Linked DNA regions of Caenorhabditis elegans. The protein of the gene in region 2 purifies or fractionates together with the protein of the main gene of each other region. This does not show direct contact. Each region holds a gene or a part of one and is shown on either strand. Other genes may lie near its edges.

Region 1 (12,270 bases), on a different chromosome or scaffold from region 2:
AATTCAAATTTTTTGCAAAAAACTGCCCGAAAAAACGAGGAAATGCGTGAATTCGTGTTTATAAAAACACCAGAAAAATCAGATTTTCTGGAGAGAAATTTGTCTATTTTCAAGAGAAAAGCCAGAAAACTTCCAATTTTCTTAGTAAAAAAATCGAAAAACGCTATTTTTCAGTAGATTTTTACCGAAAAACATGACAAATCTTGCAGACCTGCCTCTCCGTCCGCCACGACTTGGGACCAGACGCCATCTCATTCTCCCGTAAGCACCCATTCTCATGCTGGCTCTCCTGTATGCTCATGTCGTTCGCCGGCAGCTTCCTCTCCTGTTTTCTGCTCGGCGAGCCCATCATCTCACCGCTCAAACAGCACGCCGACATACTCCTCGGCTCCATCGTCTGGTACCTGGTGTTCTATTCACCGTTCGACGTGGTTTTCCGGCTCGCCACGTGGTTTCCCGTGAAGCTCGGGCTCTCAGTGCTGAAAGAGGTTCAACGGACGCATAAGATTGCTGCGGGGGTGAAGCACGCCGTCAGGATCTACCCAGAGTCTTATTTGGTGCAAATTCTTGTTGGAGTCGCGAAAGGAGCCGGCTCAGGCGTTGTAAAGATCGTTGAGCAACTGGCACGTGGCACATGGCACCCGACGAATCATGAAATTCTTCGGCCATCGTTTACCACAAAAGCGTGTGTTATAGCGTCTATTGTGTTCACTTTGGAACGGCATAGTATGTATGTTACGGCGCCACACGATTTGGTGTACTTGGTGAGTGTGGATTTTTTGGCTGAAATTGCTTGAAAACTGCATTTTTCGGTGAAAAACTACTGAAAATACGAGTAAATTAGCCCCGGAAAACTGCATTTTCAGCGGAAATCAACCGAAAATTGACCGAAAATCTTCAGTTTTAGATCAAAAAGGGCTGAAATTGCATGAAAATCCTAGAAAATTGGTCAGAAAAGTGCATTTTTCGGTGAAAAATAGCCGAAATATCCCTGAAAATCCGATAAAATTTGTCAGAAACCTTAGTTTTCAATGGAAAAAGGCTGAAAATAGTCTGAAAATCCAAGAAAATTGGTCAGAAAAGTGCATTTTTAGGTTAAAAATGACTGAAAATTCCAAAAAATTGGCCGGAAAACTGCAGTTTTAGATGAAAAAGGCCTGAAATTGCCCGAAAATCTTTGAAAAACTGTCCAAATTGGCAGGAAAACTAAATTTTTATGGTAAAAATGGTTGAAAATTGGCTAAAAATTTGAATAAATTGGCCGGAAAACTGCATTTTTCGGTTAGAACAGGCTGAAATTGCCCGAAAATCCAAGAAAATTGGCCAGAAAACTACAGTTTTAGTTGAAAAACGTGGATTTTCAGCCTACAAAAGCTCTAAAATTCGAAAAAATTGGCCAGAAAACTACAGTGTTAGGTGAAAAAAGGCTGAAAATCAAAGAAAATTGGCCGGAAAACTGCATTTTTGGGCGAAAAAGAAGCTTAACAAATGAATTTTATGTGAGAATTTCGATTTTCAGCCCAAAAACTCTACGAAATTGACAATTTTTTCTAGTTTAAGCCATAAAAAGTAGATAATTTACCTTTTTTACGAACAAAAAATCGATAAAACTTGAAATTTTAACCAATTTTTTCTCAATTTCAGTGCGTCGTCGGATTCTTCATCTACTTCAAGCTGGCTTCTCTGTGTCTCTCCGTACATGATGTTCTGATGCCTATTGAGAATGTTCTTTGTGCAGTTTTTATGGGCGGAATTATCGATGCTTTTGCAAAGTAATACAATAAAATGGAGGAAAAATCGAATTTTATAGAAAAAAAAAACGAAAAAAATCGTACAATTTCCGCCTAAAATTGAAGTTTTTCAAGCAAAAAATGCTAGAAAGCCACGAAAAATTGAATTTTCCATATAAAAATTTGAAAAAATTCAAAAATTTTACAATTTCAGCTCGAAAAATTCCATTTTTCATGAAAAATGCATGAAAAACGCAAAAATTTTTAGGAAAAAAAACTTGCAAAAATGTGATTTTTCGTTGCATTTTTCATATGAAAATTTGATGAAAAATCTGAAAATAATACAATTTTAGCTCGAAAAGGCGCTTTTTTTGAATAAAATCATTGAAAAATCTAGCAAAAATGCAAAATTTGGACCTAAAAATCGAAATTTTTAAAACGAAATATCTCAAAAATGCGATTTTTCGTATTAAAAAAATGTACAATTTTAACTTAAAGTTGTAGTTTTTGAGGAAAAATGTCAGGAAATCTCATTTGTTTTGCTCAAAAGCCACGAAAAATCGCATTTTTATATGAAAATTCAATAAAAAATCGAAAATTTGCGTTTTCCGAGCAAAAAAAGCCTGAAAATATTACAATTTTTGCTCGAAAAATACGAAAAAAAAAATCGTAGTTTTTGGTGCAAAAATTCAACTCAAAAACCATAAAAAATTGCATTTTTCATATGAAAATTCGGAAGAAATTTCGAAAATATTACATTTTTAGCTCGAAAAATTGCATTTTTCATGTGAAAAATGCTCTAAAATATTAATTTTTGGCCTAAAAATCTGAATTTTAGCTCAATTTTTCCACTTTTCCCCCCAAAAAATCCATTTTTAACCAAAAATTTTCCATTCCAGAGCCGTCGACGCCACAAAAAAAGCCATACACAGTAATCGTGTACTATCCGAGGAGGAAATTCTGTCAAAAGAGCGGGAAAAAGTGCTGAAAAAGAAGAAGCTGCTCGCCCAAATGTCCAATGGCACGGATAAAAAGAATAATTGATCTTTCTTTAAAAAATAATTTCTGTGAATTTTCATATTAATCCCCTCGTTTAAAAAGAGCCAAAGGCTCATTTTTTCCCTATTAATTTTTAATTTTTTTGCAGTTTTATCACCCCACTTGCCATCCAAAACTCGCCGCTTTATCCATGTTTCTAGTCACTAAAAATTTATAGAAATTAGCAGAAATTTCTGAAAAAATCGCAGAAATTTGCTGTAAAATTTTGGAAAAAATTCGGAAAATTCTGAGAATTGGAGCATTTTTTTCCCGAAATTTTTATGAAAAATTGGGAAATTTCAGCTAATTTTTTTCAAAAACTAGTCAAAAAATTTTACAGCATTTTTCTTTTTTTTACCCCGTCTAGATTCCCATTTACTCTTTAAACAAATATTTTTATTTTCTAACAATTTTTCCAAATTTTCTCCCCATTTCTCTCGGCCGGGTACTAACATTTTACTTGAAGTATTACGTTTTTTTTGTTTAAATAATTTTATTTTTTATTTTTTAGAGCGATTTTTTATTGTAATTTTTTTTGACATTCAGTTTTTGAAACTGTTTTATATTTTAATTTTAATTTGCGAAATTTTCAGATTTTTTTCCGAAAATTTCGCTGAAAAATTTAAAAAAAATTATTCAAAAAATTGGAATTTTCCCGAATTTTTAGAAAAAAAATTTGAAATGTTTTCATTTTTTTTTAATTTTTTAAAAATTCAAAAAAAAATCAGATTTTTAGAAGTGATTTTTTAAAAAATCTCAAAAAAATTTATTTTTCTGATATTCCTCCAATTTATTCCAAAAAATTTAATCCAAAATTATCAAAAAAAATATTTTAAAATTCGAAATTTTTGATTTTACCAAAAAAAAAAATGTTGCACTTTTTTTTTGAAAAAATTGCAATTTTTTGGAATTTTCAAGAAAATTCCAATGAAAAATTCCTTTTTTAAAAATTTTTTAAGTAAAAAATCACAAAAAATTCAAATTTACTCCGATTTTCTCGAGAAAATAAAAAAAATTCGAATTTTTCTTCAAAAAAATCCGAAAATTGGAATTATCCCGAATTTTTGGCTGAAAAGGTTGACAATTTTTTGAAAAAATTGCAGAAAAATTGGAATTTTCAAGACAATTCCATTAAAAAATTCCCTTTTCTATAGAAAATCACAAAAAAATTCAAATTTACTCAAATCCCTTCTTATTAAATTTAAAAAATTTCCGAAAATTGGAATTTATTGAGAACATTGCAACAAAACTTTGCAATATTTTTTCGAATTTTTCAAAAAGAAAATCCGAATTTTTAGCTGAAAATTTAAACATTTTTGAAAAAAAAAACCCCCCCAATTTTTATAATTTTTCACTAGAAAATCTGAAAAAAACCCAAAAAAATTTCCAGAATGCACCTGTCGCTTGATCTCAACGATTTCCTAAAAGTCGACCTCACCCGGCTCGCCGAGGACGACGAAACACACCAAAAGAGCACAAAAAAGCACACAGAACTGCTCATCGAGCTCATCGATCGGAAATCGACAAAAGCTTCAGCTCTCGCGAGAAAAGTGATCCGTTGGCCAATTGGACAGACTCTTCCAACTCAAATTGCTTATAATAATGGAGATGAGCAACTTTTGATTGTTGGACCAACTTCTGAAGCTCTTCTTCCAATGCCGTACGGTTTTAGTGGCTAGAATTTGGAATTCGGACAAAAATTTGGGATTTTAGCAAGAAAATTTCAATTTTTTCATAGAAAACTGTAGAAAAATCAATTTTTAAAATTAAAAAAAAAAAGTAAAAGTCCGAAAAAAAATTCTCTCGGAAAATTCTACAATTTCTAATTATCCGGGAAAAACCCTTCTAGAAGTCGAAAAATTTAAAAAAAATAGAGAAATTTTCAACAAAAAAAAGGTTTTCAGCAAATTTTGAATCTGAAAAAAAAATGAGGTGTCATGAAAAGTTTGAAAATTCCAAAAAAAAATCCGAAAAAACGGACAAAAAACCATTTTTTTTACAAAAAATAGAGTGAAAAATGCGAATTTTTCGATAAAAAATTCTAAAATTAAAAGTTAATTTTCCAGAAAAAATCACAAAAAATGTATTTAAAATTACTAAAAACCTTCTAAAACCTCCAATTTTGTTTTGCATTAAAAAAAAGAGATTTGATTTTCCTGAAAAAATTATAAAAATTTCAATTTTTATTGCAATTTCCAAAAAACATTTTTAAAGCCAATTTTGAGTCAAAAAAAAAAATTTAAAAAATCAAAAAAATGGAGTGAAAAATGCTAATTTTTCGATAAAAAACCCAAAAAATTTCCAATTTTTTCGGAAAAAAAGCTTTTATCGAAAAACCCGAAATTAAATTTTTAAAAAATTCGATTTTCAGTGAATTTTTAATCCGAAAAATGTTCCAAAAAATACTAAAATCTCATTTTATTACAGCAAATCAAAAAAAAAATTGTTTTTACACAAAATAGGTATAATTTTTCTAGGAAAATCGAGAAAACTGTAAATTTTTTAGCCAATTTTGAGGCAAAAAAAAGAAGTAAATGAAGTAAAAATGCAAATTTTTCGATTTTTATTAAAAAAGTTACTTTTTTAGAAAAAAAAAAACAAAAAAGCTCGATTTTCGACCATTTTTGAATCTAAAAATCACAAAAAATTGTATGAATTTCTTTCAAAAACTGTCTAAACTCGATTTTAAGCCAATTTTTTGAATAAAAAAAAATAAAAATTTAAATTTTCTTCAGAAAATGTAGTGAAAAATGCTAATTTTTCGACATAAAAATCACATAAGACCTCAAAATTTCTTTCAGAAAATCAAAAATCGACGCTCTAACAGCGACAGCCATCGCGAAATCGGGTCCCACCACGAAAACGAAAACGTTCAGCTCATTTGCCGTCAATCCAATCGATACATTTGACACGAAATCTCTATTAAAATCAATTCAAAATTGTATTGAAAATCCGGAAAAAGAGAAAAGATGGAAGCAGCTGAGCTCGAAACTTGACGAAGAATGCTCCAATGGAGAAGCTGCTGGAGCTCTTTCGGCTGTTGAGCAGTCTCAATTGCTCACCGCAATCCGCCGCTACACGGATGACGTGGATTCGGAGCCCGAGACGCTTCATGTGGTGCTCAAAGCGATTGCCACGTCGAGAGTGCTCTCTTTTCGAAATGAGGACGGTTTTTTGAGAATGTGCATTGAGAAGCTGAAGAGCAATACGGAAATTGTGGAGCATGTGCTCGCCGATGGAGCACGTGTTGTGTCGGAATTTATTTTGGCTGAATTGTTGAAGCTTGCTGCTGGGTATGGAGATGACTATGAGCAAAAAATTTAAAAAAAAAAGAAGCAATTTTTCCTATGAAAATACGTACAATTTTCACCTAAATTCGTAGTTTTTCGAGCAAAAATTGCGAAAATCTCACTTTTTTTTGCTCAAAAGCCACGAAAAATAGCATTTTCCTTAGAAAAATTTGAAAATATTCGAAAATGTACGTTTTCCGAGCAAAAAAGTCTGAAAATATTATAGTTTCAGCTCGAACAATCGCATTTTTCGAATGAAAAAGCGCAAAAATCGTCGTTTTTTCGTGCAAAAAATGCGAAAATATCACCTTTTTTTTTTGCTCAAAAGCCACGAAAAATAGCATTTTGCATAGAAAAATTTGAAAAAAATACCAATTTCAGCTCGGTAGCTTCGAAAATTTTCGTTTTCCGAGCAAAAAAGTCTGAAAATATTACAATTTCAGCTCGTAAAGTCGCATTTTTTTTAAATAAAATTTATGAAAATTCTTAGTTTTTCGAGAGAAAAATCCACGAAAATTGCATTTTTCGTATGAAAATTTACAGAAAAAATTTAAAAATTGGTGTTTTTTCGATCTGAAAACACCAACAAAAAAAAACTGAAAACTTTCTGGAAAAAAGAAAAATATCGCATCAAAAATTGCCTTTTTTTTTGAGAAAATCCAGAAAAATAAGTTTTTTTTTCGATTTTCTCTGAAAAAGAGAAAAATTTTTTGGCTGTTTTTCCATATAAAATCCAAAAAAACAAAAATTTTACTATTTTTTATAAAAATATAAAATCGGATATTTTCCAGATTTTTTAATTGTGTTTTTTCAAAGAAAGTTTTAAAAAAGGGCATTTTTGAAAGGTTATTCCTGCTTTTTTTCAATTTTCTCTGAAATCAACAACAAAAAACGGAAAAATGTTTAATTTTCTCAGAAAACAAATTCAAATAAATGGTGTTTTTTCGATCTGAAAAACAGCAAAAAAAAAGTGAAAATTTTCTGGAAAAACAGAAAATAACCTACCGAAAATTTTGCGTTTTTTCCATATAAAATCTTTAAAAAAAAGGAAATTTTTTAAAATTATTTTTCGTGTTTTTTTTTCAATTTTCTCTGAAAACCACAAAAAAAAAAACGAAAAAATGTTTAATTTTTTTCTGAAAACAAATTCAAATAAATGGTGTTTTTTCGATCTAAAAAACGCTTTAAAAACTGAATATTTTCTGGAAAAAAGAAAAAATCGTACCAAACATTTTTTCTTTTTCATATTAAATCCGAAAAAAAAAACATATTTTTCTTGAATTGAACTAAATTGGATTTCGGAAAACGAGAAATTTATGAATTTTTAATTTTTAATTTTCTGTTTTTTTTTTCGATTTTCTCTGAAAAACGCCGAAAAAATGAACATTTTCCGGAAAAAAAGAATAAATCTAACAAAAGGCTTAACGTTTTTAAGAAAAAATTAAAAAAAAAAAAAATTTTCCGGAAAATTTTACGATTTTTTGAAAAAAAATATTGATATTTTCAGATTTTTTGTTAAAAAAAAATCAAAAATTCCGAAATTCTCGAAAATTGGCTGTAATTTAATCTAAATTTGACAGAAAATTATCGAAAAATTATCGTTAAAAATACGAAAAAAAAATTCAAAATTAGTCGAATTTTGTCAATTTTTCTCGAAAAAATTAAAAATAAAAAAAACTAAAAAACTAAGCTTTTTTTTCCAGAAAACCGTCCGAATCCGAGCGCCGAGCCCAAGTGAGCCAAGTTCTTGCCCGTAACTTCTCTAAAATTCCAATGACCGAAGCTTGCGGAGCCGTGCTCTCCGTCACCGAATCCATCGAAATTATGACAATTCTCACTGAAATCTACCGTGAATCACCGGATATTTCCATCAGTTCAAAAGCTCTCACACTGATTACTGTACTTATGGATGCACATGGTTCACGTATTGTATATGAGGATAAACTTCATCACAAATTCGCTGCGATCAGCAATTTTATTATTGAAATGGTACGGAAAGTGCTGGAAAAAGTGATTTTCCGCTGAAAAATTGGCCAATTTTAGGCTTAAAACGATGAAAAATGTGAAATTTTGAAGGAAAAGCCATAAAAATGTGGAAAAAATAAATTGAAAACGACTTTTTTTTTCTGAATTTTCCGTTTAAAAAACTGACTACAAATTCAAATTTCTCAGAAAAATTTGGCGGGACTTCAAATTTTAGTTTTATTGAAAAAAAAATTAGAAAATTTATTTTCAAAAAAAAAATCAAAAAATCTCCGATTATTAAAGAAAAAAAAAGAAAATTGTAGAAAAATCAATTTTTTCAGCAGAAAATTTATCTAAAATTCGAAAAAAAAGTGGAAAAATTGCAATTTTCTTTGAAATCCGAGAATAAAATTGTTCGATAAAAATTCGAATTTTGATGATTTTTTTTTTGGAAATTTTCCCGAAATTTCTACAAAAAAAATTGAGCAATTTCTTTCAAAATTTTCTACTAAATTGTTCAGAATTCAGTGATTTTCGGGGTTTTGGCGCGAAATTTGAATTTTATTAAAAAAAATTTTTTTTTAATTCTCCGAAAAAAATTCTTATTTTCGCCAATTTTCAAGAAAAAAATTTTTTTTCTTAAATTCAAAAAAATTGAATTTTTCAGGAAATATAATCTTTTTTTAACACGAAAAAATTGCGAATTTCAGAAAAACATTTTTTTCAAATTTCCCAAAAAAAACACTGAATTAATATTTTTCAACAATATAATTTTTTTCACAATATTTCTGAAAAATTACTAATTTTTTTGTAAATTTTTGAATTCCCGCCGGCAGAATTTACTGATTTTTTCAAAAAAATTTCAGTTAAAATCGATAAATTAGCTGATTTCAGATTAATTTTTTTGCCGAAAATTGTCTGAAAATTTTACGAAAAAAAAAAATTTATATTGCAAAATTGAAAAAAAAAATCATAAAAAATTTAGCGTTTTTCAAATTTTTTAAAAACTAATTTTCATATCATTTTCTATAATTTAAATCTATTTTTTCTATTTTTCCAGCAATCCCTAGTCGGAACCTTCGCTCGACTTGAAGCTGCAATCGACGAGTGCTCGGATACCCAGGCAGCGAATAATGTTGTGATTCGTATGCATCCAGTGGCTCATCCCATTAATTGGTAGAAGAAAATTCGATTTTTCTGTTTTTTTTTCAAAAAAATTGGCTAATTTTGTGATTTTTAGCAATTTTCTGAAAAAATCGTTTTTTTTTTCTCATTTTTAAATTGTTTTCCTTGTTGATTTGTTGTTATTCATTTTGTTCTGGAAATTTTGAATTTTACCTCATTTTTTAAATAAAAAAATCTGCGAAATTCTGAACTTCTTTTGTTGAATATCCGGATTGCTTCCAATTTTTTATTTTTATTTTTCTCCATTTTTTTTTTGATTTTTTTTTTGTAATTTTCGGTTTTTTCCAGGAACTTGGAAAACGCCATGCGAGGGATTCAAGGATTCACGAAAAGGTAATAATTTTTTTACGAAAAAAATGCTTTTTTGAGTGCTCAAAATTGGTTAGATGAAATTTATTAAATAAAAATATGGGAAATTTTTATTTAAAAAATTTAAAAAAATTTAATTTCCAAAAATTTCAGCGATTTTTGAAAAACAAATTGTTTTTAGCTCTAAAGCTCGATTTTTACCCTGAAAATTATTATTTTTTTGATTGAAAATTTCCGTAATTTCAAAAAAAAAATTTAGAGTTCAAAAATGGTTGAATTTCAATTTTATCATCAAATTTTTATAACAAAACTTGCTTTTTTGAGTAAAAAAAAACTAGATTTTCACTGAAAAATTCCCAAAAATCCAGTTAAAAAGTTGCCAAAATCCGCCCACACCTGTTCAGCAACATTTTTTCTTTAGTTTTCTTCAATTTTTTCCTCCTCGTTCTCATTTCCCGGGGGTTCGGCACCGCCGGAAAAATTAGTGTTATTCTCTTTCTCATCTCCTCTTCCTACTCACTCACTTAGAGCTTAACAACATCTGTCGTAGGCGCTTCCCGCCTCCGGCGGGAGGCTTGCAACCGATAGCCCCGCCGGGCGGCTCCGAGAGCTCCGAGATCAGTGTAAAGGCAGATCTCTCTCTCTCTCTCTCTCTCTCTCTCTCTCTCTCTCTCTCTCTCTCTCTCTCTCTCTCTCTCTCTCTCTCTCTTTCTCTCTTTCTCTCTATTCGACTCGGCTCATTGGCAGAGCATTGATATCATTGGCTCTTTACGAAACACACACACAATAAATACAGATATCGGTTTTTTTGTTTACTTTTTCGTTTTTTTTTTTTTTTAATTTTTAATTTTGCGGAAAATCAACATACGGTTAGAATAACGTTTCAGCTAGTCGAAACATTTTAAACAAAAACAAAGCTTACACCCGTTTTTTATACATATCTATAAATATTTATTATGTACACGTGGAGTCAGAATGTCTTATTTCGATTTGATCTTCAAAAAAAAATGCGGGAGTTGAGACGCAGACATCTCATCTGTTTTTGCATGGTTAAGAGCGTGTTGACGTCACAATTTTTCTGGAAAAATATTCCCGCATTTTTGTAGATCAAACTGTAATACGACGACAGCCTGACACAATGTGTATGTATGATTTTGAATGCCGAAATCATACACGTAAAATAGTCCTCTACTTATACAGTCGTTATTACGGTATACCCATATATTTCCACATTACACTGTAATGTTGAGCAATAGTAACTATCTAAAAATTTGTCATAGCTTAAATATTCTGAAAGTACTGTATAATTTGTATCCCTACTAAGTTCGAATATTTAAGCTATGGCAAATTTTAATATAGGTACTATTGCTCAACATTACAGTGTAATGTGGAAATAAATAGGTATGGTATACATTTAAAAAATAAATATAACCCCTGAAAACACGTGAAAATGAAACCGTCTGAACATTTTGGTGTAAAGTTATTCACAAAATAAATTTATTAATTAAGAAGAAAACCCCGATTTTACCGAAAATTGCCAAAAATCAGAGGGGGTGCTATAGAAGTTGGACGGCCATTTTTCAGATATTTTGACCTAATTTCCGTGATTTTTGAGATACCATAATAAAAATTGGGGAGCATAGGTTTTTCAACATTTGCTATCGAACTGCACTAACACTTTTTCAAAAAACATTTTGAGAAGCTCCAAACCGCCAAATTGGAGGGGGGTGCTATAGAAGTTGGACGCACTGTATATATATATATATATATGTATATGCGTACAGGTTATTTATGATTTGTGTTAATCTAGCATAATAAGCAATTTAATGAATACTTATTAAGCGTTATTAACAAGGCAACTAATAAGAAATTCAACCATCTAGCTAGCCTAACGAACTAAAATCCACAATGAATACTTTGCTAGTTAGTAATTATTTTGAATAAAATATTTTGTCATTAGATGTTTTTCGAGCTGCCTACTTAGGGTTTTATACAGAAATTTAGAAAATACTTAAGCTATGGCAAATTTTAGTATAGGTACTATTGCTCAACATTACACGAGCTTCTGAAGTTGGGTTCGAGACAATTTTCCTGTCGCTCCATTAATTTCCGAATTATTAAATAAAATATGAACTTATTTTAGCACAGTAATGGCAAAAAATATTCTTAGGTCTAAGTCAAGCATATTCTCTGGAATACATTACTCAGACAACCCTCTTTATTTCTTCCATACGAAGTAGAGAGAGAGACAGAAAAAAAAATGAAATTTCGTCACTCTTGCACATCTCTTATGTATATTCAAAAGAGAGTGTGTGTGCGCGGCAAGATATCCGACGATAATCTTCTTCTGCAATGGCTACTTTTTCTCCGTTTTTCCAATAGAGCAGAGATTCTCCCAGCTTGGCTCGTTTCTTAGTTTTTGAGCTTTCAACTTATAAAGGGAATAGCAAACGTCCTGGAATTTTAAATTCAATAGGATATGATATAATTGATTGTTTTCTCATTCATTTGAAGCAGAGTTTCGATTTCTCCGGGAATTCCAATTCTCGAACAATTTCAGAAGCAAACTGACTTGATCATTCAAAAGTTTAGAATTATTTTTTCAAAAAAAATCAGCATTTACCCCAACAAACGCCGCCATTGACGTAAATGCACCTTCCTGATATCTCTTATTAATTCTTATCAGCTAGAAATCTTATCATCACCAGAAAATAAACGTTTCTATGTACATGTGATTTCTGTAACACTCTAAT
Region 2 (10,959 bases):
AGAGTGTCGTTGTTTTTTCACTGGCTCGGGTGTATTTGCATTCAATTAAATTTTAATTTGCAAGAAAAAATGTATTTTTGGTTTTTTGTATTCCTCTTTTCCCCAAGCTTTTCCTAATTTTGCACACAAGCTGCTTTGAAAGATTGCGCAGCTTCTTCCCCCATTTCCCCAAACAACCCCAGTTTTTACCCACCTACTAACACAGGCTCGTCTCGTTGCTCACCCCCACACGCTGCTCTCACTGCAACCCGATCTGAAGCTACTCCATTACTCCGAAGATCGACGAATCATCATGAGGAAGATGACGCATTGTTTGATGATATCAGAGCATTTGCACGTGGAAATACAGTAACAATGTCTCCAACGGTTGCTGGTAATTCAGTGTCTCCAACAACGGCAATTCATAATGATGGGATACATTCACAGCAATTGAGCGGTGAGAAAAAATACGAGAAGATTGAAAAAATTGTGTGACTTTTCTGAAGATATGAAACCCTAAAAGCATGGTGTGGCATTCATTGAAACAGCTGATTAACACAAACTCACTCTTTTTTCAGTCGTGTACCAACTTTGACAGCTCATATCTCGGCTAGTGTTGTGAATATAAAAAATGTTTAACTACAAAAATTGAGCAAAAGAAAAAACAAGTAATTTTTCAGTTGACAATTTTTTGATAATTTCAAAAGTAACTGAGATAGGCGTTGAAAGGTGCAAGTCTAACTGGGAAACTACACACGTGGAATTGCAGTGTGGTATTTTAATTTTGAAAAATAAGAATAGTTAGGGAATACATATTGTATTTAGAATTTGTTAATTTTAAAATTAAAAATGCAAAATTTCAGACCGATCAGATGATTATGAAGAACGAAGGGCAAACATGTTTGGAAGGAGGCTTGAATCAATTGAAAGGTACATTTTTTGGCACTTTTGATTACACTAGGTTTCTAAATTTTTTTAAACACATTAAATTGAACATTTAAATTTTGGGCGAAAGAATGTTGAAAAATATTCAAATTCACGTTTTCTGCCTGTCTGATTGTTGAATAATTTAAAATTGTTATTTCAGGCAACATTTTTTTGAAAAATTACTAACTGTTGAATAATTTACTAACATTCATTTTTTGCAGCCAAATGGAACGAATGCAGAACAAGTTTAATAGTGATATGGAGACATTGATCAAACTTGTAAAAGAGCAATCGATAATCCGAAACAATGGATCATCAAATGAAGGTAGGCGGTGAAGAGAGTATCTCCCCGCCCATTCATTCCTTCTAATCGATGAAAGGTTTGTTATTCGCATCCATTGAACCACACACAAAACACACATGTATTCACCGGTTACTGTAGTAACTAATCTACCCTCCCTGTACTTTCTCTTTTTTTTTTATTTAATTAGATAATTTCAATATGCTATGCTAGATTCTAGATACAATTAATATAGTTCCCTTTCTATCTAGGTAAAGCTCGTCCCTTGATTTTTTTTAAATTTTTCCTGATCCTTTTTTTTCGATTCATTTGATTCATTTTGTCGTCAATAATTCTAGTGATCGTCAACGTGTGTTGCAGTGTTACTATAATAATTTTTGAAAAATATAATATTACTTATTCATTGCGTTGTACGCCAATTTTATCCTGATATATTATCTCTCTGACTAAATAGGAAACATTTAGCGCATATTAGAATTCTCTAAGACTTTTAGGTAAGTTTAGGTAGGCATAAGCATACCTACCTGTTTTTTATAAAATACCTATGCTTTCATAGGCACTCAGGTAGGCAAACGCGATAAACGTTCTTCTAGGTGAATAGGTAGGCATGAGATGTCTCATTTCTTTTAGACACACAACAGGCATCAGGCATTAAAGGCACACAGGTAGGCGAAAAGTCACCTACGACATTTTAGATTCCGAGGTAGGCATCAGGCGACTTATGACTTTGTAGGCGCGCCAAGTTTGCGCGCGAAGTACTGAACTTTCTGTTTTTCAAATAGATTTTCTTTATGATGTTTCCCAAAATTTGCGCGTAAAACATGGTGCATCGAACGCGATGTATCTGAAATTCATGTTAACCCTCATCTCACCAGTCTCTCAATTCTGCAGCCGACATTTCACGGGATCTACTCCTATGAGATGTTGGCTGCTTCACCTATCACTTTATAAACAAATCGTTGTACCACTGTTAAGTGAACCTCTCTACGTATCTAATTATCATCGTAATCTTCTGATTTTCCCTTCTTCGTCTCACAACTCCTCTTTCTAGTAAACTTTCTTCTTTTTTAAATATTTTTTTTTGGTGAAACAAGTGGAATGTGTGTGTTTGATGTAATGCGATAACAATCGATACTTGCACGATTGGATGAATATTTTCGAATATTCATTTCAGGAATGAATGGGTTTTTCGTTTTTTTCTTTATTTTTTGGATTTTTAATTATTTTCTTTCTGAACTTTCAAGTGATAAACAACGTGGCTGCGTGTAGATCACAGAAAATTTTATCAGAAGCTTCTGATTCCCAGATCGAGAGCTCTTTTCTCTATCAATTATTTTCAAATATTCCAGAGCCCAATGCCCGTTACCGTCCGAACAACTACATATCGTCAGCGATACGTCTTCCGAATGGAGGTGGTGGTGGAGTTGTCGATGAGATGAGAGTCTCGAGGCTCTCATCACACGAGCCACCAACACCCACACAAGAAACTGATACTATTCTATAACCCGGTTTCTCTCTTTCTCTGTCTCTCTCTCCATCTTTCTTTCTCTCTCACATCCAACCCAATTCAGTCCTTCTTTCCTTTTTCTCAGGGATCTTTTTCCGAGTGCCTCTTCACAAAAACATTTTTATATGATTACAAATTGTCCAGAGTTTTATTCGTAGGATCAAAAAACGTTTTGAATGGAAAATAGTCGAATTGTGCGAACACCGGCGTACGCATCGAGGAGAGGTTAGAATTTAGTTTTACACGAGCTGCGTAAATCGACACAAGGCCGCTTCGATGCACCATGTTCCACTCTCAACTATTTTCCATCTCAAAACGTTCATTTTCTCTCAACTCCCGGTTTGCAAAGCTGTGTGATTTGTTTTTTTTTTTCATTTTCCACCAAAAATCAATAACCACACTTTTATACCCCCTCCTAATATTCTCATATCTAATACCCCCGGATAGCCACTAGTGATCTCTTTCCATCTCCCACAAAACTAAAGGAAACGTTTTCTTTCAAATGCCAAAAAGTATTTCAAATCTTTTTTTTTTTTGCAATTTCAACTTCAAAAACAAAACAAAATTCGTGTTTTCATCATGTCTTTCTCGCGGGTTCATATGTCGCAACACTTTTTTCAATGTTCTCCATCAGTTTTCCCCTAATATAATGTTTTTTTTTGCAATTTTTCTTTTAAAATCTGATCGTCTAGATGCCTTTTCTTTGTATGTTTTTCTTTTGAAATTTTCTCTCTTCGTATCCCAAAATCACATCACATCCCCTTTTTGACATTCTTTCTATGCACCCACACTAAACAAAAAAATTTCGATAAAAATTTTAAAATTTGATTTTTTGTGTTCAATTTTCAATTTCAAATACAGTACTGATTTTGGTATCGGATTCAGGATAAAAGAGCAAAAAGTGACTTTATCTGCAGCCGACACCTCAGGGGGGGGGGGGTTTCAAACAAATATATATTAAGAGCTACAAAAATGTTCAGCAAACAAGTTCATAATAATAAAATCATCGAGATAATCGAATTCGAATGAAAAGTGCAATATATCCAGCCAAATAGAAAAAGATCACAATTGAGCAGAGTCCAATAACATCCAATTGATAGTTGTCTTTGTTGAATGAGAACTGTTTCAGAATCAATTCTCGATACTGAAAAAGGATTAAAGTGGCATGTGTCACAAAAATAGAACTTACGAAAGGATCCCATTTCGGATTGTCCACTTGAGACCACTGATTCACGACGAGTCCTTCGAATCCATATCTGAAAATTCATTTGTCGTGAGTACGAAGCCGTTCAAAAGCGCATACGCCTAGAAACGGGCAAAATTTCTAACCTACACCAACTAGTCCATTGCATCCACCGAATGTAAACTGGAAAGTTATTCGTATTTCCATATAATCCACTCAACAGTGCAAAAAGGCCTGATGCTGGAACGGCAAAAGCAATTGCCAGCTGAAAAAAAACATGTGTTTTGAAAAATCTGATGTTAAAAATTTACCGAAGTAGTCTCGAATAGACAAGCCAAGAAGAGGCCACACGAAGTGGCAGACTGCTCGACGAGCACAGAAATTAGAATACTTTTAGCCACTTGTTGCCAAGTACTATTCAATCCAATCATCCAATATGATATTACAATCATTAGAGCTCCGTCGATTGTAAATAATGGGAGATATGACAGAAATCTGAAAGTTGAATCAGATTTATCAACTGTGAGATGCTCTTCTTGACAACGCAAAAAACCATTATTTGGGCAGAGCCTAATATTGATTTTTTTAATACTTCGTCTTTAGTTTCGTACAGTCACAAAATGCCTACTATAAGCTCTACCTACTACCAACGTGAATCTTGCTCTATTTTTTTTAACTGAAAAATTGATCCAAACACGGGAATTTGCGTCAAATTGCAGAAATGGGCGGTAGGCAGAAAATAGGCACATAGGCATGCAGTGCTAACCATGGAAGCATTGTTTTTCATATGCTCGGATGTTTTACTACCTATCAGTGCACTCAAAATATTTAGTTTTCAAATAAACGTATAGAAAAACTTCCCATATCGTGTCATGTTTCCGTACTTTTCCACTTTTCTAAACTAACCTCGAAATATAATAACTAATTACATAAAACAATCCATCATGATATTCTCTCGCAATTAATGGAAGTTCATGTTCCATAAATGTCATAATTCCAAACATCGTGGAGAAAGTGAGCTCCGCAATTAGAAAATAAAGAGCACTATTTGTGTTCCGTACTCCTCGAGGATCAAGTGGTTGTTGCCAATAAAGAGATCCGATGAATAAGCCCATCACCACTTTTTGAATTAGTTTCATTCGCATTTGAGCTGGAGAACGGATCACATCGAGGCAAGCTCTGAAAAATAATGTTAGAAGCAAATCAAATTTTTATTGCACCATTGGTTTGCAAAGAAAAGCGTGCATCATCATTTACTATATATAAAGCGCTTATTCTGTGTGTCCATAGTTTGTAGTCTATGTAGTCTTTGTAGTCTGTGAAGTTTTGACTTCTGGAGGGATAGTGAGTTGGGGTTAGTGTAGGGATATAGTCGGGGTACTGTAGTGGTACAATAGTGGTACGGTAGGAATACTGTAGGGTTACGGTAGTTTCATAAAAATTAATTTTCAGCTCTAGAAGTCGGGGGCCGCGCCGAAGGTGCGGACCACAGCTGGTTTTTTATAAAGTGCAATCGTGGTAGGATTTCCAAACAAAATTTTGGCAACTTATAGTATCTCGGGTCATTTTATAGATATCAGAAAATGTTGAACTACAAAACTATAGAAAAATACATGATAAATATTTTGTCAATTGGCAAAATTTCGAAAAATCAAAAACAACTGAGCTATGGGATGTCAAAGTTCAGCAACAGTTTGTGGTTCAAACATGGTGCATTTCGTAGTTTACCATAAAGAAGCGTGCTTTAACTATTATTTTTCCAGATAACCAACCTCTTTAACAATGCTCCAGTTTCGGCAAAAAATCCTGGATTCTCTATATATGGAGGTAGCTCTGTAGTCGCAATCACACGTATTTCCACTATAGATTTCTGATGAATTATCGATTTTTCATAAAATTCAATAATTTTTCCAATTGTTTCTCGACTCTTTGTCTCGTTGTTTGGTATCACTGACAATTTGGATTGTATCCATTCAGGTGGATTGAATAATTTCGGAATTGGATGGCCACAGTCAGCGAAAAACTGGAAAAAAGGTTTATTCGAAAATTTGTAAATTCAAATTATAGTTGGGTATCCGAACAATTCGATTTTCGATTCAAAATTATAGGCAGATGAGGGTCTCCACACGACTGAAACATTTCGGTATGCGCCTTTGAAGAGTACTGTACTTTTTCGCAGATTCCACATTCACTAATATTTTTCTGAATCCTCAGTTTCGGTCGTGCCAAGACCTTTTGGCGTGCGCCTTTAAATAATTTCTTAAATTTCAAAATTACCTTCACGGACTCATGAGGTGTTCCCATAAAAGCGGTTTTTCCCATCGACAAGAAAATAATTTTGTCAAATTGAAAAAAGAGCTCGGCAGTAGGTTGATGGATCAGTGTTCGACCGGAATTCGCGAGATTCTTCAAAATTTGTACAACACTTGCAGCCATAAATGAATCAAGTCCAGACGTTGGCTCATCAGCAAAAAGTAGTGATGGATTGGATAATAGTTCACAGGCAAATGTCAAACGACGGGCTTCACCACCGGAAATTCCTTTTACGAGTCCAGGTGTTCCAATTTTCAAATCTCGACAATTTTGGAGTCTCAGCATTTCAATAATCTCATCCACTCGTTCTCTACGTGTATGTTTATTGGCTTTCATCCGAAGTCTTGCCTGAAATTTTTGGGAGTTTGCGCGTAAAGTTTGATGTATCGAGTAGGCGCTGACGCTTGATCTTCAGAAATCGGGAGTTCTGGAGATCAAACACTGTCTTCTGATTATTACAGTTTTAGGTCTTGAAACGGTCAAAGTATTCTCAAATCAAAACTCCAGAAAAGAATGCGCGCCTCTAAAAGGTTACTGTACTTTTCATTCCGTATAGTATTTTTACTTGAAACTACGGTATTCTTTAAAGGCGCACGTTATTTTAGGTGACATTAATTCAAAAAATGTTATTCGTGCCAAGACCAAATACTGTATTTTCGTGCGAAAAAAAATGCTGACCTGGATCATTAAATATTCATCAACAGTCAATGTTGGAATGAAAATCTCCTGTTGTTGTGCAAAACCAGAAATCAATGAAATCTCCTTCCCGATCTTTGTTCCATTCACTTTCACGGTTCCATTCTTCTCCAATCCCTTCATATTCCTGCACATTAGCACATTCATTAGAGTGGTTTTTCCTGCTCCGCTGAACAAAATTGCTTCATAACTATAACTTCATAACTATAACATAACTAAAGTTTTACCTTGCACCCATTAATGCCACCATTTCTCCTGGCTTTGCTATTCCCGAGACTCTATTTAACAGTTGCTTCTGCTTTTTGGAAAATAGCTTTTTCCGAGTTTTTACCCTGAAATATGAAAATATTAAATTCAAACACCCGCGTATTTCTCAGAACTACGGTGTGCAAGCGGTGTTTGCGTACCGCTGCGGAATGCATCACAGCCTACGCGCAAATCATCATCATTTTTATCATTTCTTTCTCGAATTTTCTTTGTTTTTTGATCTTTGTGTTGAAGATTTGTTTATATTTTACAAAAATTATGACTTAAAAATTAGTAAATTGCTCTGGGCGTGTTATGTGATGTTACTATTCGTCAATTTTCCAACTTACTCGATGTTTTCCCACGTGACTGTGATGGGCGTCACCACTTCCGTCAGCTGAAAAATGTATTTTACTTCGTTGCAGCAATTATGTGTATTTTATATGATTTAAACACATTTCTTCAAAGATATATTTGTTGATTTCAATTTACAAATGCATTTCAGACCGAAAAAATACTAAGAATCTCCTCTTGAGCTAAACTCCACGTTTTCAGCTTTACACAACATAATTTTACCTTTTGGCTGCTTGTATCGATTGATTCGTACCCGGCATTCCATCTTTTTCTTTCCGCTAGTAAATCGAATGGCATTTTTGTAGGCATTTGACAAATAAACTATTTGAATTGATTCAATTTTTAATTAAAAATTATAGAAATGAGTAGATTGTTGATTTTCCAATCTAAATTTTATCATCACGGATACGTAAATTTTGAAAATAGAAAAAATAGTCTTACAACGCTTTTATTACGATTTTTATTTGTTGTAAAATGCATAATACAAACTTTGAAAAGCTTGTATTTATATTTAATGATTCTAATATGATTTCGCTTGATTTAGCTCAATTTTTTGTTTCCCTGTCGTATTTCGCAATCTTATCTCTCATCACATTGAACAGACAAGTGATTTTTGAACTATTTCGTCACTACTCGGACAATATAAATGCTCTTCGAGACTAGTGGAGGCTACAGAGTTCCTGATTTCTGTCATTTTTAACTAAAAAGTTAATTTAGAATGTTTCAATTTATTCGAATATTTTATCTTCTGGCTTTTTTCGTTCACAGTTTTAATTATTTGAAATCTTCATTGAAATTCTATCAATTTCAGAAAATGGTTCGTCGGCGCACTGCTTCCCCATCTCCATCGGCCCCAGTTCGATCGGCTCCACGTCCAGCCGCCCAGTCATCCTTCGCCGCTCCACCACCAAGACCAGGTAAAATTTAAGCCATTATTTTTTTTCAAAAACTCTTAAAATAATATTTCAGCCGCCGCTGCTCCAGCTTATCATCCACCAGCAGCTCCAACTCCAATGGGAGCCCCAATGGGTGCTCCATCTCAGGGACCAGGATTGATGAAGCAAATGGCTGCAACCGCCGGAGGAGTCGCCATTGGATCCGCTGTTGTGAGTAGTTTTATTTAAATATATATATATTCCCCGGATTTCGAAGCTAACCTATTTCCAAGACCATAATTTGGGAAACACTTAATTAAAATATCGAATTCTAAAATTCCAGGGTCACGCCGTCGGAGGAATGTTCACCGGAGGCGGTAGCTCTCATGCCGAGCAAGCTCCAGCTGCTGCTGCTGCTCCAGCCGGTGCTCCACAAGCTTCTGGCTACTCGCAGCCATGCGAATTCGAGTGGAGACAATTTGTGGACTGCGCACAAAACCAATCTGATGTTTCTCTGTGCAACGGATTCAATGATATTTTCAAGCAATGCAAGGCCAGATATGCCTAATCACAGTTCCCCCGTATAGATATTGAATTAAGTGAAAACGTTTAGCATTTGGTGGAAATTGATTATTTCTCTCTGAAAACTCAAATTCTACTTTATGGTTATCGCTTTCAATTTGACTTTTTTCCTTTTTTTTGTCGTATTTAGCTCCCTGAATTCCAAATGTTCCGTAGTTTTGTTCTTTTTCAATTTTCCCCAGTTTTCTGTTCGCAAATAAATTGACTCGTTGTTTTCTTGTTTTCCTCGCAGTCTTTCGCACTGATTTTTGAGGTATTTGCCATGTTGTTTTTATATTTTCTGGTTCATTCGCGATTTTTAAAAAGCAAAAAAACACATCAATGAGCGCGCGGGTCGGCCTCCAAACACTCACTATAAATACTGCAGAAATCGCTTCATTTTATTATTCCTCCGCTCGCTTTTTCTCTTTTCTACTGCAAGATTTTTATCGATGTTTCGTTGCTATGCATTTTTAAACTCCCCGAGATTCAATTTTTAATCTTTCGAGAAAAAATAGAGTTTTCAATAATATACGATAATTTCTTATTAATTTAGAGAAATATTAATTTTTTAAAAAATTTAAATCGATATATTTTGAAAAACTATAGTTTTTTCGCCATATGGTATATTTTCCGTTAATTTAATCTATCTTTTCAGTAACTCACAATATTCTCCTCCATATTTATTTTATTGAATATTCCAAAATTTAGAACCCATATACTTTTAATATTTTTAGACAATTTTTAAAAATATAAATATACGGGTACGGTAGCTTCGAAGCTTTGGTCGTTTCGAGACCCATTATTGTATTTGTACTTGAATTTCCTACAGTAATCTTAAGTGAGCGCGGCGAGACCCATTCATTTGAGTGAACATCCCTTGAAGTTAATCGAAAAATAATTGTATTATTATTCTCCAGAAATGACAGCTCGCGCTCTTCACTACGTCTTCAAAGTGGCGAATCGTGCCAAGACCATCGACTTTTTCACAAATGTTCTGAATATGAAAGTGAGTATTCACATAATTTTTATTTAAGCTGTAAATTAACTCTCAGGTTCTTCGCCACGAGGAATTCGAAAAAGGATGCGAAGCAACTTGCAATGGACCATATAACGGACGATGGAGCAAGACAATGATTGGATATGGCTCAGAGGATGAGCATTTTGTTCTAGAGATCACATATAATTATCCAATTCATAAGTATGAGTTGGGTAATGATTATAGAGTAAGAAAGCTTGAGTCTTGATATTATTAATACAATTTTATTTCAGGCAATCGTCATCGATTCTGATCAACTCTTCGAAAAAGTCGAAAAAATCAATCATCGTAAATCTGGATGTGGAAGACTAGCTGTGAAGGATCCAGATGGCCACGAATTCAAGATCGGAAAGGCTGATCAATCGCCAAAAGTGTTGAGAGTTCAAGTGAATGTTGGAGACTTAGAGAAATCCAAGAAATATTGGAATGAAACTCTCGGAATGCCGATTGTTGAGGAAAAGTCGAGCAGAATTCGAATGAGCTATGGTGATGGACAGTGTGAGCTGGAGATTGTGAAGTCTCAGGATAAAATTGATCGAAAAACTGGATTCGGAAGAATTGCATTCAGTTATCCTGAAGATAAGGTAATTGTTGATATTTTCTATTAAAAATCTAAATATTTAATTTTCCAGCTCGAATCTCTCCAAGACAAGATCAAATCAGCCAATGGAACTATTATAAACGAGCTCACAACTCTCGAAACTCCAGGAAAAGCCGATGTTCAAGTTGTGATTCTTGCCGATCCAGATGAGCATGAAATCTGTTTTGTTGGTGATGAAGGATTCAGAGCTCTCAGCAAAATTGACGATAAAGCCGAGTCTGAGCTCAAGGAGCAAATCAAAAAGGATGACAGCGAGAAGTGGATCTAAATTTTGTCATTATATTTTTATTTCCAATGTATTTTCCTTATATAAATTCGAACATTCCTAGAAATTATTGTAGTCAATTTTTCAGAAGTTTCAGGGAAGATCTTTTCAT
Region 3 (7,715 bases), on a different chromosome or scaffold from region 2:
CTTAAAGACAATAAAACTTTTTTATGAGGACAAAATAAAGTTTTGAAAGTTAGAATTGTAAGTATTAAGTTTGAAAAATTAAAAATCTAACTTTACAACAAAGTTCAGAAAAATTTGCCGAACAGTTCAAACAAACTTTAGTAATAAAGAAGGAGTACAGTTAGGGGTACTGTATAAAAACAAACTTACAAGCCAGACGGCACGGCGAGAACCTTCTAATGTTTTTTGTTTACCAAAAAAGGACTTGCCCCTCAGTTGAAAATTGAGAAATTATGGCATTCAACTGACACAAATATATTCATTGATTTGAAATATCCTGTTGATGTCAAGGAAATGAACGTTTGTTATCATAAACAGTAAAAAGAAAATAAATTTAATGAACACACTTTCCAATTTTGGGAAAACTTACCAGAATCGTACCAGGTCTTATGAATGGAAAACGGAAGAATTCATGAGATTTAGTGCTACAAAAAAATTTCAAAATGTGGAAGATTCACAAAAGCTAAGAAATGTGATTTGTAATTTTTTTTTGAAATAAGATTTATAATGTTATTAGATTTAAAGTTTCGAAGTTTTAAGGATCTATTAAACTATTACAAACTAAGATAAATCAATTCTTACGGAATTATCCAACTTCTCGATAAATCAATTTTGTCGACGAAACGATCATCATAAATTATTTGTTTTCTCGACTTGATTGTAGTTTTGAACAGATGAGATTTCATCAGAATTCACAGAATTTCTTGCAGAAGCCACACCTTTTGTTAACTTATTTAAATTGAGGATATTGGCTTGTTCCTTCAGCTAGTATTTTTGAAATTTCATTCCGTGATTATTTTCATTCCGTGATTATTTTCACTCGGGAATCGCTCGCCCACTATGGGGGAGTCTACGCAAGGACAACGCAAGGACAAGGACAACATTCTAATGGAATGGAAACAATTGCCAGACTGCACCAATTCTAGTTCAAGCGAACAATGATAACTTTTGTATTCTGTATTCCTTCACGTCTCCCAGCGAGCGTAATAAATTATTATTATTATTATTTCTGTTTTTCTACCATACAACTACAGTAACCCGTTGGTGTAAGGTGTTAGGCTACAGACTAAAATGTTAGGCTATCCGTAAAGTTTCTTTGTCTACATTTTCTGATAGGGTTACATATACAGTACCTACCAAAATTAGAAAGCGTTCCTGGATTTTTTTTGGTCATTTTCAAAATTTTCAAATAATTTTAACTCGAAAAATAATTAATGTATTACAGAAGATTCGCTGACAAACTTCTTTTGCAAAACTAACTAGTTTTTGAGTTATGCTCAATTAGAAAACCTATAAAGATTATTTCTTGGCCGATACTTCATGTCCAAAAATAGGTGACATTTAGGGATCATACATAATTTTTTCAACTCAACGTTCATTGCTCACGATATTGAAGAGCCTACCGAGTATGAAAAACCATTCAAACAATCTACCGTACTCATTTTCTAAGACTTTTGCAAAATTTGGTTGACATGCGGTTTCTCTCTCAGGTCAAAGAGCAGACTATCAAAAAGAAAACAATGAAACCGTCCCCCAATTCGACCTGACACAATGATTCCCAAAAACTGATAAAGAATTGTTCTTCCCCTTTCCTTCCACGGAATTCCTCTGACTTTTCACCCCTGTCCCTTCATCATTTTCATTTTCTATTTCGCTATCCATATCACATCATATCATATCAAAACGACACCACGTGACTTTTCCCCCTATTACATTTATAGTTTGTCGCAATACGTTGTTTTATCACTGAATTGATATACATATTTAAATTAATGAGAGAATTTGTTAAATGACTGCCAAACAGTTTTTTCTCGTAGACTTCTTTTCTCGATCAGCAGCCCCCGAAAAGATAGAATCTTTAATGATTGTCCACGCATTTAGACTCCCTTCTTTGATTTTTCTTATCACTTTAGAGTGTCTACATGAAAAATCTCACCCTTTTCGCGGTACAGTATCATTGAAGAAACGTGGAATTAAATACACGAACTTCTATAAGTTTTAAGGAAGGCGGATTTATTCGAATGAGGTCTCGTCGGGAATTTTACGAAAACGATCTGTGTATGCGTCTTTATGTTTACTGTATACCTATAGAAACTTCCGGCTTCTTTTTCTGTGTTTTATAGTTTTTCAAAAACGATAATTACTGGAAACTTCACTTACAATGTTGGGTGTTTTCCGAATTCAACTCGTGACCAAAAATTACAATAAACCAATAAAAAATAAAACTTAATTCATCTACAGTAAACCTAAAAAAGCGCGGCGAGAGTTTGCAAATAAAAACATTCTGTGAATAATCATGTCCAGAGAGAGAAAAAGATGAAATGGGAAACTGAAAGCAGATTTTGATTTAAAAAATTACATTGTAATTTTCTGAAACAAGGTTTCTTAAAGACACACCGATTTTGATATTATTTTCCTTTCTATTAAGATTTTTTTCAAAACAAATTTCTAGCTGTTTTAACGATTTTTCTCGATTTTTGTTAAGAATTTCAATGTGCTTGAGAACAAAAAAATGCAATAGGGAAGTCGAATAAAAGGAAACCTACAGTAAACATTTTTCTCGCGACGAGACCTATCTGAATAAATCCATGCGCCTTCAGGCGGATGTTTCAAAAAACCATCAGAACTATGATAATAGGACTTTCCGCCAAAATATCGGAAGAACAATCTTCAAGATGCAAAAATATTACTACCATATCATATCAGCTTCTTCCATACACAAATAGTGATATAAACAGCCCCCACGCGGTCGTCCTCATCCATCCGTCGACGTCAAAACTTCCTCTACAACGAATAAAAAGAAGAAGAATGTTCTGATCAGTGTGTATGTGTATATATGTCTATGTCATTGAAACCTCTAGGCTATTCAATTTTTATCTCTCCTTCTGTTTCTCCGTGTACCTTGTCTTATAAACTTTCTTTGTTGGGTGATTTCTGAAATTCCAAAATTTTCAGTCCGAATAATGATGGCATTAAGAAGAAGGCGACATGTGGCTCCAGATATAAGAAATAATGCTCACCAGTATATGTGAGATTTTAGCTCATAAATACCTATTTCTTAATTTAATTTCAGGAGAAGCTTGCGGGGGCCAGAGACAAATACGCTTTTTATAGGATATGCTATAAATCATGGAACTGTGGATCCAAGTACACCTGGGGTCTACAATAATCCCAGTACAGTTGTGGTAATTACATTTTTGTGCTCAACTCTTTGCTATTCGATGTAATTCCAGTTCACATTCAACGGAACCTCGTGTCCTGATCATTTTACCGAGTACTTTCATTTCCAAAAGGCCACCATTCCGCATGTTGATCCTGCGCTGATTCGACGAGTCACTCGGTGGATAATTGAAGACTTCAGATCCCATCGTGAAGTGCTCCCTGATTTTATTATTGTGCTCCGAGATCAAGTTCGCGATGATCTACAATCAACGGTACGTTTCCTATTAAAATAACTTTGAACGTTGCATCTTTCAATTTGAACACAACTGCGGCCTTGACCAATAATCTTACCACCACCTAGTATTTCGTTGAAACGCTTTTTCCTGTCCAGTAGTGAATATAACAAGAAATTCCAAAAAATCGTAAATCCAAGTGTATTCACAAAAGCGGGAGTAGAACAACAAGTAACAAATAACAAAAAGTTTAAAAAAAGAAAGAAAATTGGGTACTCAATTGGTCTCCATCGATTCTGCGGTTTTCTTTTCTTTTGCTGCCGCCCTTGTCTTGACACCATCTCTGTTTGCAACTGGAGCACGGATGAGATGCATTTTCTTGTCGACCTTCGCAAGGAGTCCCTTCTTCTGTACAATCTTTCCTGGTTGCAGACGTTTTCTGATCAGGTTACCATATCTGAAAAATAATAGTTGCTTTTTGATATAAATTTATTTTTATTTACCTTTTTGTTTTCAATGCGGAAATCGTTTTGGCAGCTTCAATGGTCTTTTGGAACATGGCTCTTTCATACTTGACAGGCTCATCTCTGCGCTGTTCGAGAAGCTGTGTGGCGTCGTTGATAAGCTCCTTTCCGCGAGCACGACGCGCAGCCTTGGTGAAACGAAGCTTTCTTGGGTTCTTCTTCTTCTTGAACAATTTGTTACATCTGGATCGGCAGAATTTGAACACCTAAACAGATTGATTGAACAGTTCGTAAACTAATTTTATTTTAAATAGTTCTTACTGTGCTATCGTTTCTGACAAACTGGATTCCGTGTCCCGGGTAGATGGGAGACGAGCAAAAGTAGCATTTTTCAATGCGCATTGTTACCTAAAATTGATAAAATAATTTATTAACGCAAAATACGGTGAAATTGGACAGTGAGAACATTGAAAAGTAACAAAATTAGTTTAGAATCAAGAATTGCGAAAAAATAAAAAAGCGATCGCCTTATGCGCAAAGGGAGAGAAAGGCGCCAGCGAGTGTTGCTTGCGCACTTTGCGTCGGTGATAAAAGCGCGGTGATTCAAATTGGAAATCATGTACCAAAGAAGAAATCGTAAGTTTTCAGGTAGAACATCAAGAGTTCACAGCTTTCAAAGAAGAAATATCAACATATATAGAGACTGCATCAAATCTTCCAGAATGGAATCCTCGATTTGCATTTGGATTGGCTCCATGGCGACCAGAAAATACGGAACCACTCGTTTATTTGTTTCAAGATGACGGAATTTTCCAATCAAACGAAGAATTTCAAAACTTAATTGTTAACATGTTTATAACAATTAGAGTTCGTAATCATCGATTTTCTCTTCTTGAACCTCTTTGGAATGCTGAAAACAAAGCTGGACTGTGGACTAAATTTTTTCCCAGTTACGCAGCGTAAGAATATTCGATTTCTTGATAAATCTTTTAATTTTTGATTTTCAGTTTCAGAGAAGCACACAACAATGCTCTACCTCGAATTGCTAACTCTTCTCAATATGATTTTGATACAATCTCGCTCCAACTTCACATTGACCCAGAAGTTTGATATCTAATTCCATTTCCTACAATACAATCTTTGAATTCTCTTAATCATGAAATTATGAAAAATTGAATAAAAAATTTTTAATGAAAAAACAATTGTTTAGAACACGAAAAAAGAATTTGTTTTTAAAAGTACAAAGACAGCCAATGATAATTTCTGAGTTATTTTTGAAAACCGTAGTGTTGTTGGTAAAATGAAAGAGCATCTAGGAGAGTTTAAGAAAGGCAACATGTGAAAAATTAAAAAAAAAAAAAGATGTCAAATGTAGGAGAATGATTATCAGAGTTTTTGTCTTCTTGCTTCCGGTTCTCCCTCATGGAGTTGTTGTTGGTGTATTTGATGATGGCGATGAGCTGCTGCAGCTCTTTTCAAAACTCGGAGAGCGTGATTTACATACCTGAGGAAGCAAAATATATGTTAAGTCTTATAGATTTAGTACGATCAATGCGAATATTGTTTAAAACATTTGTTATACTTACTAAATATCTTAGTAAAACTATTTCAAAATAATTAATTTTTTTATGCAAAAAGTTCGAATATAATACAATTAGGTGTATGCTTCTTTATGTTTCGTTTCATCAATATTAACAAAATTTGATGAAATTTTCGAAAATGTTTGTTTCTAAATATTTTCGATGTTTGTTTAATCTTTTGCTAACTAAAAAAACTAATTAATTGTAAAATTATACAATTTTTTCCACAGTGAATATATGATTGAAGTATCTTTTTTAAAAACAACAAATTAACGTAACTTCCGTAAAAAAGTTTTTTTCCGGATTCAGCCTTGATTTAACCTTTAGAAACTGCCCTGCATTAAAAAAACCAGAAATTCCCAAAAAGATCCAGTTTTTCCAAAAACTTTGACTGAAAATTTTGAAAACGTGCCGAAGATCAAAAAATTTTAATTATGATACTCCGTTTATTTATTTTTTTATAAATTAACTCACTCAATTAAATAGGTTTCAGTGACAGGATTCACCATAGTTTCAACGACATTTTCCGCAGTTCGTAATCCATTCGGCAACGATTTATCTGTTCTTTCTCGCATAAATTTCCACTCTTTTGGCTGAAAAAAAGTAACCAAATTAAAAACTAATATTAATTTCAACATAGATTTGCATCAAAAAATAATGTTTACCCGTCCTTGATTATCAACCAGCAGTGTACATTCGATAATTTTATTATGATACTTTTTGAGAGTTGCCGTTGCTTTCATTGTGCCAAATGGATCGGAAAGATTCTGGACAAATAAATATCCAATCCATTCGGGAAGCATTCCTTCTTTACATTTCCTGCAATTCGATTATTCTCTTGATACCCTTCAATTTCCTCTTTAGAAACTTACTTTTCAACTTTCAGTAGAAAATCAACAGAGTTGTGAGATGGTGGTTTCCACTTCAGAACTTTATCACATCTTCCAGTTTCATACTTCTGTAAAATATCATTCTCAAACACGTTCAAAATTTAATTTTAATTCTCACAGTTTTCTTCGGCTGGAAAATGAGACCATCAATTTCGTGTCCGACATGCTGCACAAATTTCGGTCCAAATAATTTAGCAGTTGCTTCAAGATCATAAAAATCTTTTCTTCTGACAGACATAATCTGGTTCTCGTGCTTCAGGCGTCCAGTTTTGAATGCAGCAGTTCTCATGTCGATAATTTCAGTTTTGATGATTTCAAATCGTTTATAAAATGGCTCTTTCATCACATTAACGCTCTGGAAACGAATAATACATTTTCTTTCCGATTGAAATCAACTTACATTGAATCGCATAATATCATAGATTAACATTCGAGGCTGATCACACATGGCTCCATTGATTTCAACCTGAGAAAACAAATAATTCATTCATAAATTATGAGTTTTCATACCTTATCAATGATGACTTCAGTATCCACAAGGGTTTCCATCAATGGTGCACCATTTTTTGTCACGAAATCAAGATTTTCAATCTCAAAAACCTCGTTATCACGATCAAACGCATAGACATCTCCATCGTTGATATAAATGATGTACCTAAAATTTTAAAAAATCTTTAAATGAAATTTTAAAGAATATTCACTAACCTCATGCCATCAGCTTTCCATGATACCATATATGATTCCTGTTCGAGTAAGTTTATGTTTCCACGGCTCAAAGATACGGGTTGGAGACCCGGAAATCCTTGTTTGTTGTATTTGCAGAGATTTTTAATCTAAAGAAAAAACTATACAGCTAAAGAATTGTGAGAAAATGATATACCTTGGCTTGAAGCATGCTCTTCTTCCCTTCATCTTCACACACTTTAACTCCTCGAATTAATCCGTCCATGAACAATTTCGAATTATCTCCTCCTCCGCTCAATTGATTTCCATTTTGATTATTATTTCCTGAATAAAATTATTTAAACGTTAAGGCTTGAAATTGAAGACAAACCGTTCGTTGCGGGAATTTGTTGGCTTGTCGATGGTCGTCCGTTGTCAATTTGTGTACTCATGCCAATAGACATTTCTCGTTCCCAGTCTGGCTTCTCGGGAGCCAGAATTTTGTCATCTTCTGTGGGATCATATCTTGCAAATAAATCATCGATGTAGTCTTGCTTGTAAATTCCCTTCTGTCGATTTTCAGCAAACTCTCCGATTGCAGCATCGAGACCATATTCCTTAAAAATATCCTGTCAGTTTAAAAAAGATAATCAACTTTTTATTCTCTGAGCTTTTTCTGATTCA

What was found.
Region 1: the proteins of wht-3 (region 2) and Y57A10A.27 fractionate together in Caenorhabditis elegans (co-fractionation; one large-scale study listed by BioGRID). This does not show direct contact.
Region 3: the proteins of wht-3 (region 2) and rsl-24D1 fractionate together in Caenorhabditis elegans (co-fractionation; one large-scale study listed by BioGRID). This does not show direct contact.

Annotation. Positions count from the first base shown.
Region 1 is NC_003280.10:12,266,933-12,279,202, reverse strand, and holds Y57A10A.27 (Armadillo repeat-containing protein 4), read left to right. Parts: upstream 1-4,158; 5' UTR 4,159-4,159; coding exon 4,160-4,428; intron 4,429-5,569; coding exon 5,570-6,061; intron 6,062-7,761; coding exon 7,762-8,047; intron 8,048-9,083; coding exon 9,084-9,203; 3' UTR 9,204-9,391; downstream 9,392-12,270. Other genes in the region: tric-1B.2 (Trimeric intracellular cation channel type 1B.2), read left to right, coding at 210-764, 1,645-1,772, 2,630-2,774.
Region 2 is NC_003281.10:4,143,737-4,154,695, forward strand, and holds wht-3 (ABC transporter ATP-binding protein/permease wht-3), read right to left. Parts: upstream 7,863-10,959; 5' UTR 7,816-7,862; coding exon 7,729-7,815; intron 7,550-7,728; coding exon 7,503-7,549; intron 7,239-7,502; coding exon 7,134-7,238; intron 7,076-7,133; coding exon 6,889-7,075; intron 6,559-6,888; coding exon 6,175-6,558; intron 5,921-6,174; coding exon 5,670-5,920; intron 5,077-5,669; coding exon 4,804-5,076; intron 4,393-4,803; coding exon 4,209-4,392; intron 4,163-4,208; coding exon 4,044-4,162; intron 3,971-4,043; coding exon 3,904-3,970; intron 3,859-3,903; coding exon 3,718-3,858; 3' UTR 3,689-3,717; downstream 1-3,688. Other genes in the region: Potassium voltage-gated channel unc-103, read left to right, coding at 206-436, 843-909, 1,128-1,231, 2,557-2,711; har-1 (Hemiasterlin resistant protein 1), read left to right, coding at 8,321-8,423, 8,476-8,612, 8,725-8,949; glod-4 (Glyoxalase 1), read left to right, coding at 9,865-9,951, 9,998-10,168, 10,215-10,565, 10,614-10,850. UniProt on the Caenorhabditis elegans protein: Required for efficient RNA interference (RNAi) of pop-1 indicating a role in the germline development.
Region 3 is NC_003279.8:9,666,006-9,673,720, reverse strand, and holds rsl-24D1 (putative ribosome biogenesis protein RLP24), read right to left. Parts: upstream 4,307-7,715; 5' UTR 4,301-4,306; coding exon 4,220-4,300; intron 4,165-4,219; coding exon 3,938-4,164; intron 3,892-3,937; coding exon 3,711-3,891; 3' UTR 3,623-3,710; downstream 1-3,622. Other genes in the region: C03D6.1 (Piwi domain-containing protein), read left to right, coding at 3,006-3,067, 3,113-3,224, 3,273-3,473, 4,547-4,857, 4,906-5,008; cel-1 (mRNA guanylyltransferase), read right to left, coding at 5,285-5,402, 5,953-6,071, 6,144-6,297, 6,351-6,436, 6,487-6,723, 6,769-6,834, 6,879-7,023, 7,074-7,201 and 2 more.